4 linked regions of the Cricetulus griseus genome follow. The protein of the gene in region 1 interacts with the protein of each later gene in a biochemical or structural test. Links are inferred from orthologs where the notes say so. Each region holds a gene or a part of one and is shown in the gene's direction. Other genes may lie near its edges.

What was found. The genes of interacting proteins can lie anywhere in the genome.
Region 2: the proteins of Pcna (region 1) and Rfc1 form a complex in vitro, tested with the Homo sapiens proteins (5 studies listed by BioGRID, with this or other methods). The link is inferred for Cricetulus griseus from reciprocal best matches to the Homo sapiens genes PCNA and RFC1.
Region 3: the proteins of Pcna (region 1) and Sprtn form a complex in vitro, tested with the Homo sapiens proteins (4 studies listed by BioGRID). The link is inferred for Cricetulus griseus from reciprocal best matches to the Homo sapiens genes PCNA and SPRTN.
Region 4: the proteins of Pcna (region 1) and Poli form a complex in vitro, tested with the Homo sapiens proteins (4 studies listed by BioGRID, with this or other methods). The link is inferred for Cricetulus griseus from reciprocal best matches to the Homo sapiens genes PCNA and POLI.

What each region holds. Positions count from the first base shown.
Region 1 is NC_048599.1:46,331,518-46,335,599, forward strand, and holds the start of Pcna (proliferating cell nuclear antigen), read left to right. Parts: upstream 1-1,278; 5' UTR 1,279-1,288; coding exon 1,289-1,509; intron 1,510-2,235; coding exon 2,236-2,333; intron 2,334-2,481; coding exon 2,482-2,549; intron 2,550-2,821; coding exon 2,822-3,016; intron 3,017-4,082. UniProt on the Homo sapiens protein: Auxiliary protein of DNA polymerase delta and epsilon, is involved in the control of eukaryotic DNA replication by increasing the polymerase's processibility during elongation of the leading strand.
Region 2 is NW_023276807.1:132,371,174-132,375,384, reverse strand, and holds the start of Rfc1 (replication factor C subunit 1), read left to right. Parts: upstream 1-1,407; 5' UTR 1,408-1,539; coding exon of another isoform or gene 1,540-1,542; intron 1,543-4,211. UniProt on the Homo sapiens protein: Subunit of the replication factor C (RFC) complex which acts during elongation of primed DNA templates by DNA polymerases delta and epsilon, and is necessary for ATP-dependent loading of proliferating cell nuclear antigen (PCNA) onto primed DNA.
Region 3 is NC_048596.1:201,642,926-201,646,954, forward strand, and holds the start of Sprtn (sprT-like domain-containing protein Spartan), read left to right. Parts: upstream 1-1,225; 5' UTR 1,226-1,531; coding exon 1,532-1,752; intron 1,753-1,760; exon of another isoform or gene 1,761-2,236; intron 2,237-2,429; coding exon 2,430-2,529; intron 2,530-3,462; coding exon 3,463-3,591; intron 3,592-4,029. Other genes in the region: Exoc8 (exocyst complex component 8), read right to left, coding at 1-1,009. UniProt on the Homo sapiens protein: DNA-dependent metalloendopeptidase that mediates the proteolytic cleavage of covalent DNA-protein cross-links (DPCs) during DNA synthesis, thereby playing a key role in maintaining genomic integrity.
Region 4 is NC_048595.1:169,048,671-169,052,656, forward strand, and holds the start of Poli (DNA polymerase iota), read left to right. Parts: upstream 1-1,182; 5' UTR 1,183-1,206; coding exon 1,207-1,306; coding exon of another isoform or gene 1,307-1,308; intron 1,309-1,393; exon of another isoform or gene 1,394-2,643; coding exon 2,644-2,769; intron 2,770-3,986. UniProt on the Homo sapiens protein: Error-prone DNA polymerase specifically involved in DNA repair. Plays an important role in translesion synthesis, where the normal high-fidelity DNA polymerases cannot proceed and DNA synthesis stalls. Favors Hoogsteen base-pairing in the active site.

The sequences.
Region 1 (4,082 bases):
GTCACCCAGCCGGGTCCCAATGTTAGGAAGGCAGTGGTGGCATACACCTTTAGTCCCAGCACTCTGGAGGCAGAGGCAGGTGAATCTCTGTGAGTTTGAGACCAGCCTGGTCTATAAGAGCTAGTTCCAGGACAGCCTCCAAAGCCACAGAGAAACACTGTCTCGAAAAAAGCAAAACAAAACAAACAAACAAACAAACAAAAAGAGGCATTTGAAATAGAAACTGTGGACTTTCACATTAATATTTTACACTTTCGGCATCAAACATATTTTATCCATCACCAAAACAAAACAAAGAGAAGAAACATTAGAAATTAAAAAAAAAAATAGCTTTACATCCGTTTGTAGCTGGTGTCCACCACCTGCATTCAGTTTCCCCCACCCTTATAATCAACAGGAAAAAGAAATTTCAGTAGAACAAAACGCAGCAGGAACACATGCACCTGTAATGGCTGACATTTTCAGGAATGGGTATTGATTTTAACATGAAGTTATTGGTGCTTAGCCTCTAGGCCCTGGGTTCATCTCCAGCCTAGATGGGGTTCAGGCTAGGGAAAGAGGCGTAACAGGGAACTAATTAGGTGGGACCTATGGATTATGTATCTTAAGAGATAGTCATACTTTGGGGTTCTTTGCAGAAGTGTTCACGGCAAGAAGGAACTCTTTAATCTTTAGGGAGGAAAGTTCAGAGCGCCCAACACAGTGAAGTGATAGAAAACCGGGGTTAAGATGTGGTGGCTCCTTCCTTACTCGGTATTTTGCAGCGTTTTCGCCTACGCAGTAGCAAAAGCGCTCTGTAGTGTTTGAAACAGGTATACTTTTCGACTTCAGGCAGCCCTGCACCCCACCCCTCCCAACCCCCGACCCGCGCCTCCCGGCGCAGCTCGGCTTGCACGTGACTTTCATTTCCGTGGCGCGGAAACTTGCCGGGACAAGCCTCCTCCAAAAGGTGGGCCTCCGCGGATCCCATAATGCCCCACGCTTCCCACGCCCGTACGCCGCAGCCCCGCCTCTGTGTACGCGGCAGGGCGGGCCTTGCGCGGGACTCGGATACGATTGGTTCTGAGGGGAAGGTGGGTGGGGCAGCGCGGTGACGTCGCAACTCTCGCGCACGGAAAGAGCGCGCGCCTAGGAAGCGGCAGCATAAAAACGGTTGCGGGCGCCCAAGTTGGTAGTCGCTCCCTGCGGGTCCTCGCTGCCACTTCTGCATCGCGAGCCGGGAGACCTTCGCGGCCGGCCCTCTCTCCTGTCACAGTCTCTAGTATCTAGTCGTCGCGACTCCGCCAGGATGTTCGAGGCTCGCCTGGTTCAGGGCTCCATCCTGAAGAAGGTGTTGGAGGCTCTCAAAGACCTCATCAACGAGGCCTGCTGGGACATCAGCTCGGGCGGCGTGAACCTGCAGAGCATGGACTCGTCGCACGTCTCCTTGGTGCAGCTCACTCTGCGCTCCGAAGGCTTCGACACATACCGCTGCGACCGCAACCTAGCCATGGGCGTGAACCTCACCAGGTGAGCGGGTGGCGGGAGCTGGGCTCTAGCCCTCCCGCCTCGGGTCTTGGCGGGGCTCCGGCTCCGTGCTCTCATTGGCTGACGTGGTCATCCGCGCCTTCTGATTGGTGTCTGGAGCTGGGGGCGGAGCCCGAGGAAGCGCGCGGTTCTGAAAAGCCCGCGCTGGTGGCCGCGCGAACCCGCTGTTTCCGCGCCAAAGCCACAAAACGGGTGCCGGCGGGAAAATGCCTGCGTTGGAGATCAGTTCATTAAACGCCAGCAGCTTTTTTTATTTCAGGGCACAACCTTGTCCTGGCTAATTTTAGCTGCCTACTAAACGTGTTCTGGTGAAAATGTGGTACTGTCCACTTAGAGGGACAATAGGCCTTTTCTACTTGGAGTCTAGAATCTCATTGCGAATCATTTGTGGGAAAATTTACCAGTCTTAGCTTTTAACTTTGTTACAGATGCATGAATTTGCCACCGGTATACGTTTTAAAAGATTTGTGAAAAGGCCACATATGATATAGGGCACACTCTGATACACTGGAAACCAAGGACATCCTGCTCAAAAAATTATTTACTGGCATATTGCCTTTGAGTGGTTTTAAGGATCACATTCCCGATAGTTTACTCCCCCCCCCAGGGGATTTGGTGTGGGCGTAAAAGGGTAACATCTTGTAATTGCCTTTAAAAGAGTAGATGTTGAACACATGGTGTTGATAAGCCCTGCTTCTTGTTTTCTAGCATGTCCAAAATACTAAAATGTGCTGGTAATGAAGACATCATTACACTAAGGGCTGAAGATAATGCCGATACTTTAGCACTCGTATTTGAAGCACCAAGTAAGTTACACCTCTAAAACTCAATTGTTACAGAAAGCAAAGTATGATCTGTTTCTCAAAACTAAGGATATTAACAGAATTGCGGTTGTAAAGTTTTACACCATAGGTATGAACATGTGCTTCAATAACATTTGCTTCCTTTTGTTAGATCAAGAGAAAGTTTCAGACTATGAAATGAAGTTAATGGACTTGGATGTTGAGCAACTTGGAATCCCTGTGAGTATCTTGTTCTCGTTTCTGGTGGTCTTTGAACTCATTCTGTAGACTCAAACTCAGCAGAGATCTGCCTGCCTCTGCCCCCTTAGTGCTGGGAGAATATCCTGTTTTCGCTGGTGAATTTTACCAAGCTGTGATACCAGCTGATGAGTTCCAAAGTGGGTATTTGGAATGAAAGACAATTTCACTAAGCAATGACAGTCTAAAATTGAGTTTTAAAGAAATCAGATACTTGTCCTCACACTTCTGACCTTTAACTTTGGGATTTACAGGAACAGGAGTACAGCTGTGTGGTAAAGATGCCTTCTGGTGAATTTGCGCGCATATGCCGAGACCTTAGCCATATTGGAGATGCTGTTGTAATATCCTGTGCAAAGGATGGGGTGAAGTTTTCTGCAAGTGGAGAGCTTGGAAATGGAAACATTAAGTTGTCACAAACAAGTAATGTTGATAAAGAGGAGGAAGCTGTAAGTAGTAAAAGTTGTCTGCAGTGTCTGAAAGGGGAATGAATATAAGCTTAACTGCTGAGCTGGTTCTCCAGACCTAGCTCTTTTGAGGTGGAGTGTGAGTAGACCAGGCTGTCTTTGAACTTAGATACTCCACACTCTGCATATATGCTTTCACAGGTGGGACTGGGAAGCTAGGTGTTTCCAAGCTTTTGCTTCCTAGAATGACTGACAAATAAGCATTAACAAGTGAACAGAAGAAAATGGTTGGGGTTGTGAGTCTGTTGGGATCATGTAGATCTTGTAGTAAGTAGCTTTGTGTTGGACTTTCACGTGCTACCCCATTTAATGGTGCAAAAGCAGACTAAGTAAAGTTGAGTGTTGATAAGTTTTAAAGTCCTCAAAAATGAGGAAGATGTTGGAAAGGCAAAGGAAAAATGCCTGGAAAGCCTCATTCAAGCAGAAGATACTAGGCTAATTGCTAAATATTCAGAAGTCAAAACTTTTTAATTATACTAAGTTTTTTAAAAAGTTTTGCCAGCTAGTCTGAGCATCAGACTATAAATTGCAGACACAGTCTGAACTAAATATGATTTTTAGTGCTAAATGTAAAATTCGGAGTGCTTAACACAAAGTGTTTAATGTTATTTTGTCTGCAACTTGTATAACTGAGGATTAGAACATATATACACAACCCATAGGGCTGGTTCTTAACCTTAATCTGTCTGCTTAATTATTCCTACTTACCTGTCATCCTCAGATCACAAGGTATTTAATTCATAAGTATTTTGTTTAAAGCATAAGCATTACCACAACAAAGGAAATTAAGTTTTCAGTATTCACATGTTTCTTATTTCCTTAGTTTGAATTGGGACTTGAAAAAAATTCCTGATAAAATGAAAATTGGTCAACATGTCCCTTAGCTTGCATTTAACTTGTTGCTTCTTGTTACTAGAGTTGGTTATGAGCTGCTGGATGTGGGTGCTGGGAACCAAACTTGGATGTTGTGGAAGAGCATCGAGTATTAACTGTTGGGTCATCTCGCCAGCCGTGGTTACTTTTGGGGGTGGGAGTTGAGTGTTGTACA
Region 2 (4,211 bases), on another chromosome or scaffold:
GTTTCTCTATGAAGCTTTGGCTGTCCTAGAAGTCACTTTGTAGACTGGAACTGCCTCAAACTCATAGATCTGCCTGCCTCTGCCTCCTCAGTGCTCAGATCAAAGTTATGCCTCACTATTGCCCAGTGGACTTCACTATTCTTTCCTTTTCTTTGTTTTGTTTTGAGAAAAAGCGTCTCTTTGTGAGCTGTCCTGGAATTCACACTGTAGACCAGGCAGGCCTCAAACTCAGAGATTTGCCTGCCAATGCCTCGTGCTGGGACTAAAGGCATGTGCCACCTCTGCCCGGCTACTTCACTATTCTTATATTTTTGGTTGTGAGCCTAGCCTTTAAAGGCCTCCTCATCTCTCCAGCCCTACTTCACTATTCTTTAAGCGACTTATTGAAGCTTTAGGAATTAAGGGGCTAGTTTTCGTAGCATGGTAGTTTTAGGTCAAAGAGCTGTTGGGGCTGGGGGTTGCTCACATTCTTTCATAGTAGTTCTGAGTTTGATCCCTTGCACTGCATAAACCAGGCATGTTGGAATATATATGAAATCTTTTTTTTAAGGGACTTTATTTATTATGTATAATTCTGCTTCCATGTACTTTCTGCTTCCATGTACATCTGTACACCAGAAGAGGGCACCAGATCTTATAATGGATGGTTGTGAGCCACCATGTGGTTGCTGGGAATTGAACTCAGAACCTCTGGAAGAGCAGTCGGTGCTCTTAACCACTGAGCCATTTCTCCAGCCTGGAATATATATGAAATCTCAGTTCTTGGGAGGCCGCAGAAAAATCATTAGTTCAAGCTCATATTCAACTACATAGGGAGTTTGAGACCTGGATGGGACACACGAGAGCCTCAAAACAACAAAACTTAATGTAAGCATTCCTTTAATGTGAACAGTCTCTTTAATACAAACATGTACTCTCGTGGCGGAAAGGCTCTCGCAAGCTTTTCTTTGACCGCCGCTGGTGAACTCCACTGCCAATAAATAAACGTGTAAAAAGTAATAAATATTTGTCCTTCATCCTGGGAGTTTTTAAACTATGGGTCTCTTAGTGTGACACAAAATCAATAGGTCAAACATTAAAAGGAAAATAAAACAGATCAGAGTAAAGGTTGATGGGAACAGTTGATGTGTGCAGTGCGTAGAATACATTTCATTTTATTGAGGGTGGGAGTAAGACTTGGAAATTCCTACAGAGCACTGCCCTTGCTGCACGTGTACACGGAAGGAAGGCACCTGGGAACCTGCCTTAGAGGAAGCCAGCCAGATTGGGCGTCCGGGTCGCGATCGCAAGCGCACACTGTACCCTAGAGAGGTAGCAATCCTCCTGTCGCCGGGGCGGTCCTGCACCCAGCGCGCAACTCCCGCCTCGGGGCGGGGCCGCGGGAAGCGCGCGCCTCCTGACGTCATCGTCGCGCGCCGCCGCCTGCGCTTCTGCCACTTCGCGGGAGAAGTTGTTGGCGCCAATGGATCCCGAGCCCTGATAACGGATTCCCCCAGCCGCGGGCCTGCCCACCTGTTCCTCTTCGGTCTTGGGGCTGCGATGGTGAGCCGCCCGGGAGGCCGAGCAGCTCCAGAGGCTTTGCAGGCCGGGTGTGGACGGGGGCTTCGCCGCGTTGCGGGGTGGGGAGGACGGCGCAGGGTGCTCCGAGGGGCCCGCTTAGGGTGCGGGGCGCACCGCGGACGCAGCGTGCAAGGGATGTGGCTGCTACGCGGCACTTTCACACTCCACCCCGACTCTTGGGGGAAGGGAGGCAGGAAGAGGAACGCCGATTTGGACCCGGTGTTAAAAGTTACTTTCGTGTTCAGCACTGTCCCAAATCTCAGTTGGAATGTGTCCTAAGGCCGCGACTTCAAGCTTTGCGAGAAGAATGTAACACTTTGCTTTCTTAGGGAGAAGTTGCTCGGGCCTCCAGCTTTAATCAGCTTTCTCCTGAAGCGCGTCTCAGCTGTTTTGAGAGCTGATGACACAGGAAGTTGCCTTAACTTCGTTTAGACTAATTTATAGGAACTGAACAGATAATCTGGTTTACCAGGGATTAAAAAAAAAAAAAAACAAAAAAAAACACAGCCGGTACAGAGGGATGTTATGTATTTGACAGCTGTCATTTCTTATCACCTGTTAAAAAAAGTTTTTTAAAAAAAGCCCCCTCAGTCCCAACTTCAGTACATAATTCTGTATAATGAACATTCAAACAGCTCGAAAGTGAAATAGCAGCAGGCATAGGAGACAGATGCATATTTGAAATAACTTTTAAAGGACAACCGAAGATGTTCAGTTAATCTAGAAGACATTTAACAATCATATATACGTATATTTTTCTGTTATTTTTCAGCATTCTTCAGCAGCTTGTTATTGAGCATTCTTCAGAATGCCAGCATTCAAGGGGGAAAAGTGTTACACCAAATTGGGAAAAATTTCAGCTCTCTGTTGTTTATGGGAAAAAGGATAGTAAGCCACAAAGCCTTTTTTTCAGGTTAATATGTGAGTTGTTTGCTTTAAATACCTTCTAAAAATTCATTTAAAGTGCTTTTTTGAAAAAAAAAAGACTATTTTAGTGTATATTTATATATATGTGTGTCTGTGTTTGTGTATGCACACGTGTTCCATGACATCCAGAAGAGGGTGTGGGGTCCCCTGGAGCTGGAGTTACAGCTGGTTTTGAGCTGCTTGTGGGTGTTAGTTATGGAATTCAGGTCCTCTGCAAGAACAGTATACCCTCTTGGTCACAGAGCCATCTCTCCAAGCTCCATGTTCATTAATTTTTCTATTTAGTTTGTAATGTGTATGTTTTGCCTAAATAGATTTCTGTGAACATGCATGCCTAGTGCTGTCCCAGGCCTGAAGAGGGTGTCTAATTCTCTGGAGCTGGAGTTATAGGTGGTTGTGGGTGTTAGGAATTAAACTTAGGTCTCCTGAAAGAGCAGCCAGTACTCTAACTACTGAGCCATCTCTCCAGTCACGGCCCTCCAGTTCATTTGAAAATTACTTACTTTATGTGTATGAGTGCTATGTGTGCGTGTCTGTACATCACATGCAGCCCTGGTCCCAAGATCAGAAGAACCCAGTAGTCGTGGTGGTACACGCCTTTAATCCCAGCACTTGGGAGGCAGAGGTTGGCAGATCTCTGTGAGTTCGAGACCAGCCTGGTCTACAAGAGCAGGAGAGTCTCCAAAGCCATAGAGAAACCCTGTCTCAAACCCCACCCCCCTCCCAAAAAAGAAAAAAAAAAGGATCAGAAGAGATAATTGGATCTGTTGGAACTGGAGTCATAGATAACTGTGAACCATCATGTGGGTGCTAGAAACTGAACCCAGGTCCTCTGCAAGAGTTGCAAGTTAATCACTGAATCATGTCTCAAGCCTCTCAAGTTTATTGTTTTTGTTTTTTGAGACAGATTTTCTCTATATAGTTCTGGATGTTCCAGAGCTTATTATGTAGACCAGGCTGGCCTTGAACTCACAGAAATGCTCCTGACTCTGCTTCCCGAGTCCTGGGATTAATGTCATGCTCAGCTCCAAGTTTATTGTTTTGAAGGAAGATTTTGGGTAATGGTTTATATCAGGCCTTGATCTTACAGTGTATATAGAACAAGTTGGTCTGATCTATTTACATGATAAGTATATAGATCCTGCCTCAGCTTCTAGGTACTCTACAATTCAATTTTATAGACAGTGAAGACACTTTTTTTTTTTTTCTCGAGACAGGGTTTCCCAGTGGCTTTGGAGGCTGTCCTGGAACTAGCTCTTGTAGACCAGGCTGGACTTGAACTCACAGAGATCCGCCTGCCTCTGCCTCCTGAGTGCTGGGATTAAAGGTGAGTGCCATCAACGCCCTGCAGAAGATACCTTTTAAACAGATTGTCATACTAGCTGAGCTTGAACTAGAACCTAGACATTTCTGACCACTACATTATTCTGCCTCCTAAAATGATTATCATTGTTGCATTTTGGAATTTAGGTGTCTTGGTATTGTGGAAAGTTGATGAGATTTTGGGGTTTTTGTCTTGATTTAATAGATAACAGTTAGTATGTTAATATACTTAGTAGTTACCAGGTCCTATACAATAGATTAACTTGTGTGACTCTTGCCTCAGCCTTTCAAGTGCTGGAATTACTGGTGTGAAACACTGGACCCAGCAAGTAGATTAATTTCTTGGTTTCTATTTTCCTTCCTTCCTTCCTTCCTTCCTTCCTTCCTTCCTTCCTTCCTTC
Region 3 (4,029 bases), on another chromosome or scaffold:
CTTCGGGCAACTCCTGGATCCACTCCATGGAGAGGTCTACCTTTTCCTCCTCCACCTCGGGGGTGGCCAGCTCTTCCTCATCCTCATCCTCAAAGGGGTTGCTGCCCTTGGAAGTCACTGGTGGTGGCGCACGAGGGGCCGCTGCCTCCTCCTGCTCCCTCCTCCTCTTGTCACTGAGCGCCCTCTTGGTTTCCTCCAGCACTTCCAGCCACTCGCGTTTAATCTTGGCATTTTCTGCCTGAAAGATGCGGCTCTCGGGGAACATGAGAAGCTTGAACATGTCTTTCATCGGTGGGTTGTCCTTGACGTTGACCACCGCCAGGCGGTCCAGCGGGTAAAGAGCGTTATAGCGGTACATGCCTCGCCGCTGTGGCAGCCAGGTAGCCACCAGCAGACAATCGTTCATGAGGAAGCCGTGCACGCGCTGCAGCTGGGCCATGTGGTCCGCCTCGTACTCCACCAGGTCCCCGTTGTACACCAGGTACTGGCCTGGCGTGTCCAGCAGGTCCCTGCAGCCCTCTACCTTCTCCAGCAGCGTGGTGAGCGTGCGTTGCTTGCCCTCCTCGCCCATACCAGGGCCCTCGCGGGGGACGCCCGTCGACCCGGGCAAGAAGCCTGCCTGGGCCGCCCCGCGCTCCCGCGGCCCCGCGCCCGCCGTGTCCTCACCCGTGGAGGCTCCCGCGGCGGCGGCGGGCAGCAGTGCCAGCGGAATGCTCTCTAGACTGCTCTTCTGCTCTGTCAGCAGGTGGCTCAGCTGATACATTTCGCTCTCCAGGTACGAGATCTCGCGCGCCGTCTCGATGAACTGCCGGTAGTTTTGATAGACGTTGCGCTTCAGGTTCTGTGCCGTCTCCTCCGCCAGCGCCTGCACCCGCTGTCGGTGTTCCTGCAGGTCGCGGTCGCCGTCCGACTGTTGCGACAGCTGCTTCACGTACAGCCGCGCCTCGAAGCCCCCAGACTCCAGCTGCCTTCGCAGGCGGCTCGCCCCGCTGTCGGACATGGCTGACATCCGTCCTCCTCCCGCAGTTCGCGGTCGCTGTCACTCGCCGCCGTCCGGCCCCACCCGAGCCCGGCGGAGAAGACCGCTGAGGAAGCGGGGCGGGAGCAACACCCAAACGCCTGCGCCGGGGCTGAGCGCTGCATTGCGCCTGTGCTAGAGTCGAGACTCTCCTACTGCGCCTGCGCCAGGGGCGGAGTGCCGACGGCGCGCCTGCGCGAAAAGCGGCAGCGACTTACGGCGCGTGCGCGGACCAGCCAGTACGGAAGTCAAGAGGCTCGGGCGCGGACCAGACTTGACGTGAGGTGCTGAACTTCAGGGGCGTTCAGGAGACAACCGGCTTCCTGGAGCCTTCCCTAGCCCGAGCCCCGCGTTCCTAAGCCTGTGCCCGCGGGGCGGCTCAGAGCCACTTTCGGTTAGGCATTCGAGGCGAGCCCTCGCGCACTTGACAGCCGGGCCCGGAGCTCTCGCGAGACCAGTGCGCTGCGCGAGCACCGCCGGCGTCTTCGGAGTAGCTTGGGCGGGAGTGGCGCGATGGACGAGGATCTGGTGGTTGCGCTGCGACTGCAGGAGGAGTGGGACGTGCAGGTGGCACGGCGCGCGGCGGCGCGGGAGTCCGTGTCGTTGGTGGATGCGTCCTGGGAGCTGGTGGACCCCACCCCGGACCTGCAGGCGCTCTTCTTGCAGTTTAACGACCGCTTCTTTTGGGGTCAGCTAGAGGCGGTGGAAGTGAAGTGGAGTGTGCGCATGACACTGTGAGTGCGCCCACGAACGGCTCGGAACGTAGGGAAGGGCGAGGCCGCTGAGTTGTCGTTGGTGTCCCCGCCTCGCGGTGGAGGGAAAGGTCACTGGAGACGTGCCTATATTCCAGAGTGGGCCGGGCCTAACGGCCCTCAGTGATGTACCAACAGGATTCCTTTTCTACCCATTGAATTTGAGAAATCCCATTCGAAATAGTAATCTGCCCTTCACTTACACCGTCACATAGAAAGAAAGCAGCCTGCAGTAAAGCAGGGCGAGATGTAGTATGTAGCGTCCGTCTAACTTCACACCAACCCTATGACCCTTTTGGAGAAGTATCCGGGCAGACGTGGGCGCTAAACCATTCCCTGCTGATGAATGCCTGTGTGGAGCAGAGTGGGTGAGGGTGAGCAAGCGTTACTGCCTGCATTCCAAGTGTCCCACTCAGGAAAGCCGTATCCCATCAGGGACTCTTTCCTCTGAACTGCACTAGAACCGGTAAGGATTTGCTCATGTTTTTTGTTTTGTTTTTGAGACAGGGCTTCACTGAGTATCCCTGGCTGGCCCGGAATTCAGAGATCTGACTGCCTCTGCCTCCATAGTGCTCCCCCACGACAGGCTAGGATTTTACTTTTTGATCCGTCTCCACTGTTCTTGGTGAATCTAATCCACTGTTGTGACTGCTTTCCAGGTGTGCTGGGATTTGCACCTATGAAGGAAGAGGAGGAATGTGCTCCATCCGTCTCAGTGAACCTCTTCTAAAACTGAGACCAAGAAAGGACCTTGTAGAGGTATTCTTTCCATAACCCTAGTTCTCAGCTCAGTGATTTGCAGGAATTTTTTTTTTTTTTTTTTTTTTTTTTGTTTTTTGAGACAGGGCTTCTCTGTGCAGCCCTGGGTCTCCTAGAACTCTGTCTGTAGACCAGACTGGCCTCTTGAGCTCACAAAGATCCACCCGTCTTGCCTCCTAAGTGCTGGGATTGAAGGTGTGTTCCACCACTGCCCAGGCCTTTTTAAAAAATTAAAGACAGGATCTTGATAGTAGTCCAGGCTGGCTTCAACCTCAAGATCCTCTTGCCTCAGCTCTGAGGGTTGGGTTTTTACAGCTGTGCACTACCATTCCTGGCCAGGACATTTTATTGAGTTTTAAGAGACAGTCTGTTTGCCAGGTTGGCCCTGGTCTTATATGATTCTCTTGCTTCAGCTTCCTCAGTGAGCTGGCATGCATGAACCCAGCTGTTTTTAGGGGGGTAGAGTCTGGTGCTGCCAAACTGGTCTCAAACTCCTGATCCTTCTGCCTCCACCTTGAGTGCTGGGATCACAGGTGTGTGTCATGCCCAGCATATACTTAGCTTTGTGCCCATTTAGACCTGGGCTATTCGCTCTTTTGGTGTTGGCATCACGAGCCCCGTATGTTCAAATTTCAGAGCTTGTGATACGTGTTGCAGAGTTGTCAGAATTATCTTTTGACTTTGCTTGCGGTGGGTTTCTCTACCAGAACTTTAAAGTTTTTATGTGGTTGGATTCATATTGAGTTGGTAGATAAATAGGGCTTTTTTGAGCAATTGTAATTCCTCGAAGGGAGTTTGTCTTACTGGGATCTGCAGAGGTTGAAATAGTATATGCAACGTTTTGTGTACTTGGGCCTACAGACCCCAAGTTAAGAAAGCGTTTTCATCTTCAGACATGCCCTAGAAAATTAATTTTCTGGTTTTCTGTTTCAGACTCTTTTGCATGAAATGATACATGCCTACTTATTTGTCACTAATAATGATAAAGACCGGGAAGGACATGGCCCAGAGTTCTGTAAACATATGCATCGAATCAACCAACTGACAGGAGCCAACATAACGGTACACTAAGCTACACATGTTTTGGGAGCAAGGGCAAAACAGTAAACCAGACTGTCCTCAAACTTGCAAATTCTAACTCAGCCTCCTAAGTACTGAGCTTATAGGTTTGTGCCACCAAGCCCAGCAGCCATTCAAAGTTATACTTAGATTCATTCAGTAAAAGTGAAGATTTTTCAGCCTTGAATAAGAATCCTACAGAAATGAATGGACTTGTCTAGGCGCTAGAGGTAGAGTAGCTACAGAGCCAGCAGTCCTTTTCCTTGAGGCCTCCAACAACTCCAGATCAGCATTTGAGGCATGCTCCTTTGGTTCTGCATTACACTTTTCTGGACCTTCAGGAGGAGCTTCTCACACATGTGTGACAGTCCCTTATCAGAAGTTCTTTGAGTCCTGACAGTGCAGTATTGGAGGAGATATCACAGCCAAGGCTGAGGTATG
Region 4 (3,986 bases), on another chromosome or scaffold:
GGAGCCGGTGAAGAGAGACCAAAACAAAAACAAAAACAAAAATCCAACCAATCAAACACACAAAAACCAAACAATACAAAAATAAAATAAAAAAAACCCAAAACCCCATATGTCTGTTTTCTGAGGGGCAGTTTAAATACCCTGTGGGAGTGGTCTTGAGCATCTCTGGGGGAGGGGTCATCACTTGGCTGCCTTACTGAGAGGCAGCAGGGTTTGGAGAGAGAGGTGGGGGAAGGGGTTTGAAGTGGAGCTTCCGCCAGAACATATTGGAAAACATCCATACACACAAATATCAACATACAGGCAAACATGCACCCCACGAAAAGACAGGGATACACTGAGCTCCTAATATGCCAGTTGCTTTGTAGACATTAAACTATGTTGTTTTACCTCCATTTATGTAATCGAGAGTGTGTTTGTCTGTTTTGTTTGTTTTTACAGTGCAGGCTCAGAGCAGTTACACAACATACTTAAAGTTATGTCAGCAAAATCAGAGTCTGGAATGGCGACTTTATGACCCAAAGCTAATGTGTCAAAACCCACTCATTATTATTAGAGTCTCTTTAAATAAAACTCAACAAACATTCTTGTTAATCATGTCTTTACCTGGTTACCTCGGTCTTAATATCATTCATACCCTTTCCCAGTCCCATCAACACAAATCACTCAGATTTAGGGGTTATAGCGGTTTTGCTAACAAATCATCAGACAGCAAATATACTTAAAAAATTGAAATTTTAGGTATGAGCAGAACACGGAAGCCTTCAGAGAAAACTAAATCGATAAAAGAGAAGAATGGAGCTAAAGAGATTTCTCAGAGGTGAGAGTACTTGCTGCTCTTCCACAGAACCCAAGATCAGTTCCCAGAAACAAGGGGCTCACAACCACCGATTAACTCCAGTTTTAGGGGTCCAATGCTCTTTGCCGGCTTTTGAGGGCACTAGCACTCACATAGCATGTATTCTCACATATACGTTAATAATTTAAAAAAAAAATAAAGAAGAGAGAAGAAAAAAGGGAAAGGGCATTCGGGTTCTTCTTCCTCTACTTTAAGGACCTCAACCAGGTTGCAAAGGTCCTTCCGCTTCTCCTGTCCTCTGCCACTCAGGCGGTTCCGCTCGAGTGCGCAGGCGTGAGGCTGGAGGCTGGGCCGTGGTTTCCTAGGAGACCGTGCAGCAGCTGCTCCGCGGTTGGCCACCGGTGAAGATGGGGGTGGAGTTGGAGGAAGAAGGCGGCCCCGTGGAGGAAGAAGACGCTGCTCGCGCCATGGAGCCCTTGGACGCGGGGGCGGCTGGCAGCTCGCTGGGTGTGCGCCGTCCGGGTGATGGCGGGAAAGGAAGGGAAGGGTGGGAAGGGCGGGCGCCCGGGGCGGTCGTTGGGGCGCGGCCTCCTGGTCCCCCTCGGGTCTGGAGAGTGCGGGCGCTCTGCGCCGGCTTCTGCACGCTTGGGCGACCCTGCATTCCTGCACACATGAGTGGGGTGCACCTGTCTCCTGGGCGGGCAGTCTTTACTGACCTCCCAAGGGGAACTCCTGATGCTTCCGGTGGCTCCAATTCGGAGAATAGGAGGACCTTGTCCATTTAGGTGTAGAGACCTGGCCTCAGCCCAGGTAGGAAAGGATGGCCCCTAATCTAGCAAGCAGGCTGGAGTCCCTAGGTGACCCACATCTACCCCAGCCTGTGGTCCGGCCTTGTGGAGCCAGAAACTCACTAACATCCCCACCCTCCTACCCTCAATGAACAGAAAAGTTATGGCATAAATGCTATTTCTCTAATATCAATATCTCTAATATCTCCTTGGTACATATATCAAAACTTCAAAATTAAAGTAGGTACACAACTAATTCCCATTTACGGAAAGACACACTATATTCATAATTTGTCATTTTCCTACCAGTGTGCTTTTCCTAGCCCAGGGTTGCATTTAGGCTGCTTTGTTGGTAACGAAAGAAGGGAATTGTTCCTATTGCCTCCTTTACCACCCATAATATATACAATTTACTCATTGGCCCTAGGATATCAGGTACAGCCCTGACCCTAGTTTTTAAAATTAGATAACCAGGTTTTCAACTCAGTGGTTAATTATTTGTTGTCTGTTGCGCCCCAGGCACTGTTCTAGGCACTGGGGACTTCAGAACAGGAAATTGTACTCTCATGGGAGCCAAATTTAGTGTCCTGGAACCCACAGGTTGTGCTGTGCCAGTTTGATTTATTTTTTATAAATGTAGGGACAGGCTGCTTGGAGTAATGCTCAAGTTGGTTGAAAATAACATTGCTACAATTTATTATTTAAAAATTTCTAAAAGACAGGATAGTACCAGCTTTTGTGCCATTCATTATTGATCAAGAGTTTCCCCTTAAATTAACTACTCTGAGGTGTGTGTGTGGGGGTGTGTAGTACCTGAAGACATGCTAATCAAAAAGGACTGAAGGCCTTTTTGCTGATGGAGTTTCATGTCTTTATGATTTGTAGATACTGGGGGCATCTAAACGGTTGGCATCTGGCATGTCATAAAATCCAAGGGGGAAAAACTCTTTAAGCCACTGTCCATCCTTTTTCAGATAAAATGTTTTAAGGATCTGTTAGTTGCTCCCTGATGATAAGCAGCCTGAATACATTTGTTTTCCTTTGTGTATTATGCAGCAGTTTTCGATCAAGGGGTGCCAACACAAATCTCTTCATCCAGAGTCATAGTACATGTGGACCTGGATTGCTTTTATGCCCAAGTAGAAATGATCTCCAATCCAGAATTAAAGGACAAACCTTTAGGTAATCCACATTGATGGGATCTTTGTTGGGTGATGATAAAATTAGCCTCAAGTATGATTTATTTTTCTGATTTATTAACCATTCGAAGACAGTTTTTGTAGACTGTTTTAGGAACTTGGTTGGCAGTCATATTTGCTTTGCTACCAAGAGTAAATGTACCATGTCTTGTCCCTTTAATAAATGTGACCACATGAGCATAGGTAGTGTGTGCACAGGAACCAGAATGAGTTCTTAGTAGATGAAGCAGCTTCCTTTGGTAGGCACATAACAAGCTCTTGGATGTAGCTCACTTCTGTAGGCATGCACTTTAAGGAAAACAGCTTTTCATTCATGCATATAGGAAGCACGTCTTTTAGTTTAAACACAAAGGACAGTGTTTGTTTCCTTGTTGCTTTCATCTTGTGCCTGCCTCAGTTTTATAAATCACAGTCCATCCCGTTGATTTCCTCAAGAACAAAGGAATGACTAGGTTTTAGTTCTCTAAGATGAAGCTAAATCTTTAAACTTTCCCAAGAGGTCAAAGATTTAAATTAGGGGGTCAGGTTTTTTATTTTTTTTCCCTTCTGAAAACATTTCTAGTTAGCACAGCTGCCCAGTTTTTACTTTGTGTGATTAAGAAGTAGTTATTAAGTAGTTACTGTGAACTGAGGAGTGTGAGTGCTTAGCCAGCTTTTATTGATAAATGTGCAAGCAGCTCAGGCCAAGATCTGCTGTGGGGAGCCCTTTTAGCTAAGGAGTTACCAGTCAGGCCTTTTTCAACTTTCATTATCAAATATATGAAAAATGTATCAGCAAACTGATTTTGATTTGTCTTAGAATGTCAGATTTAAAAATATGCAGCAAGAATGGGTATAGGTTTTTCTTTTCCATATATTCATCTACGAATTGCAGATGAATATGACTTACATTGTGATGAAGCAATCAACTTGAGTAAAAAGAGAAAAGGGAATAATTTTAGCAATCTTAAATGCCTGGCAATTTTTAAAGAATGTATTCTATAGGTGGTCATAATATTGTCAGTTTCAAAAGGAAGCCCAAAATAATTCCTCTTGGTAAAACTACAAATTATTATAAGCTGTATATAGTTCATTACTTAGGGTACTTAATGGGACAAGATCTTTCATGACTGTTATAGTTTGGCTGCTAGAATATTGTTCATATTCACTGGCAGTTTGCTCAGAGGATAAATGAGTTTTTCTAGCAGCAACCAATATTTA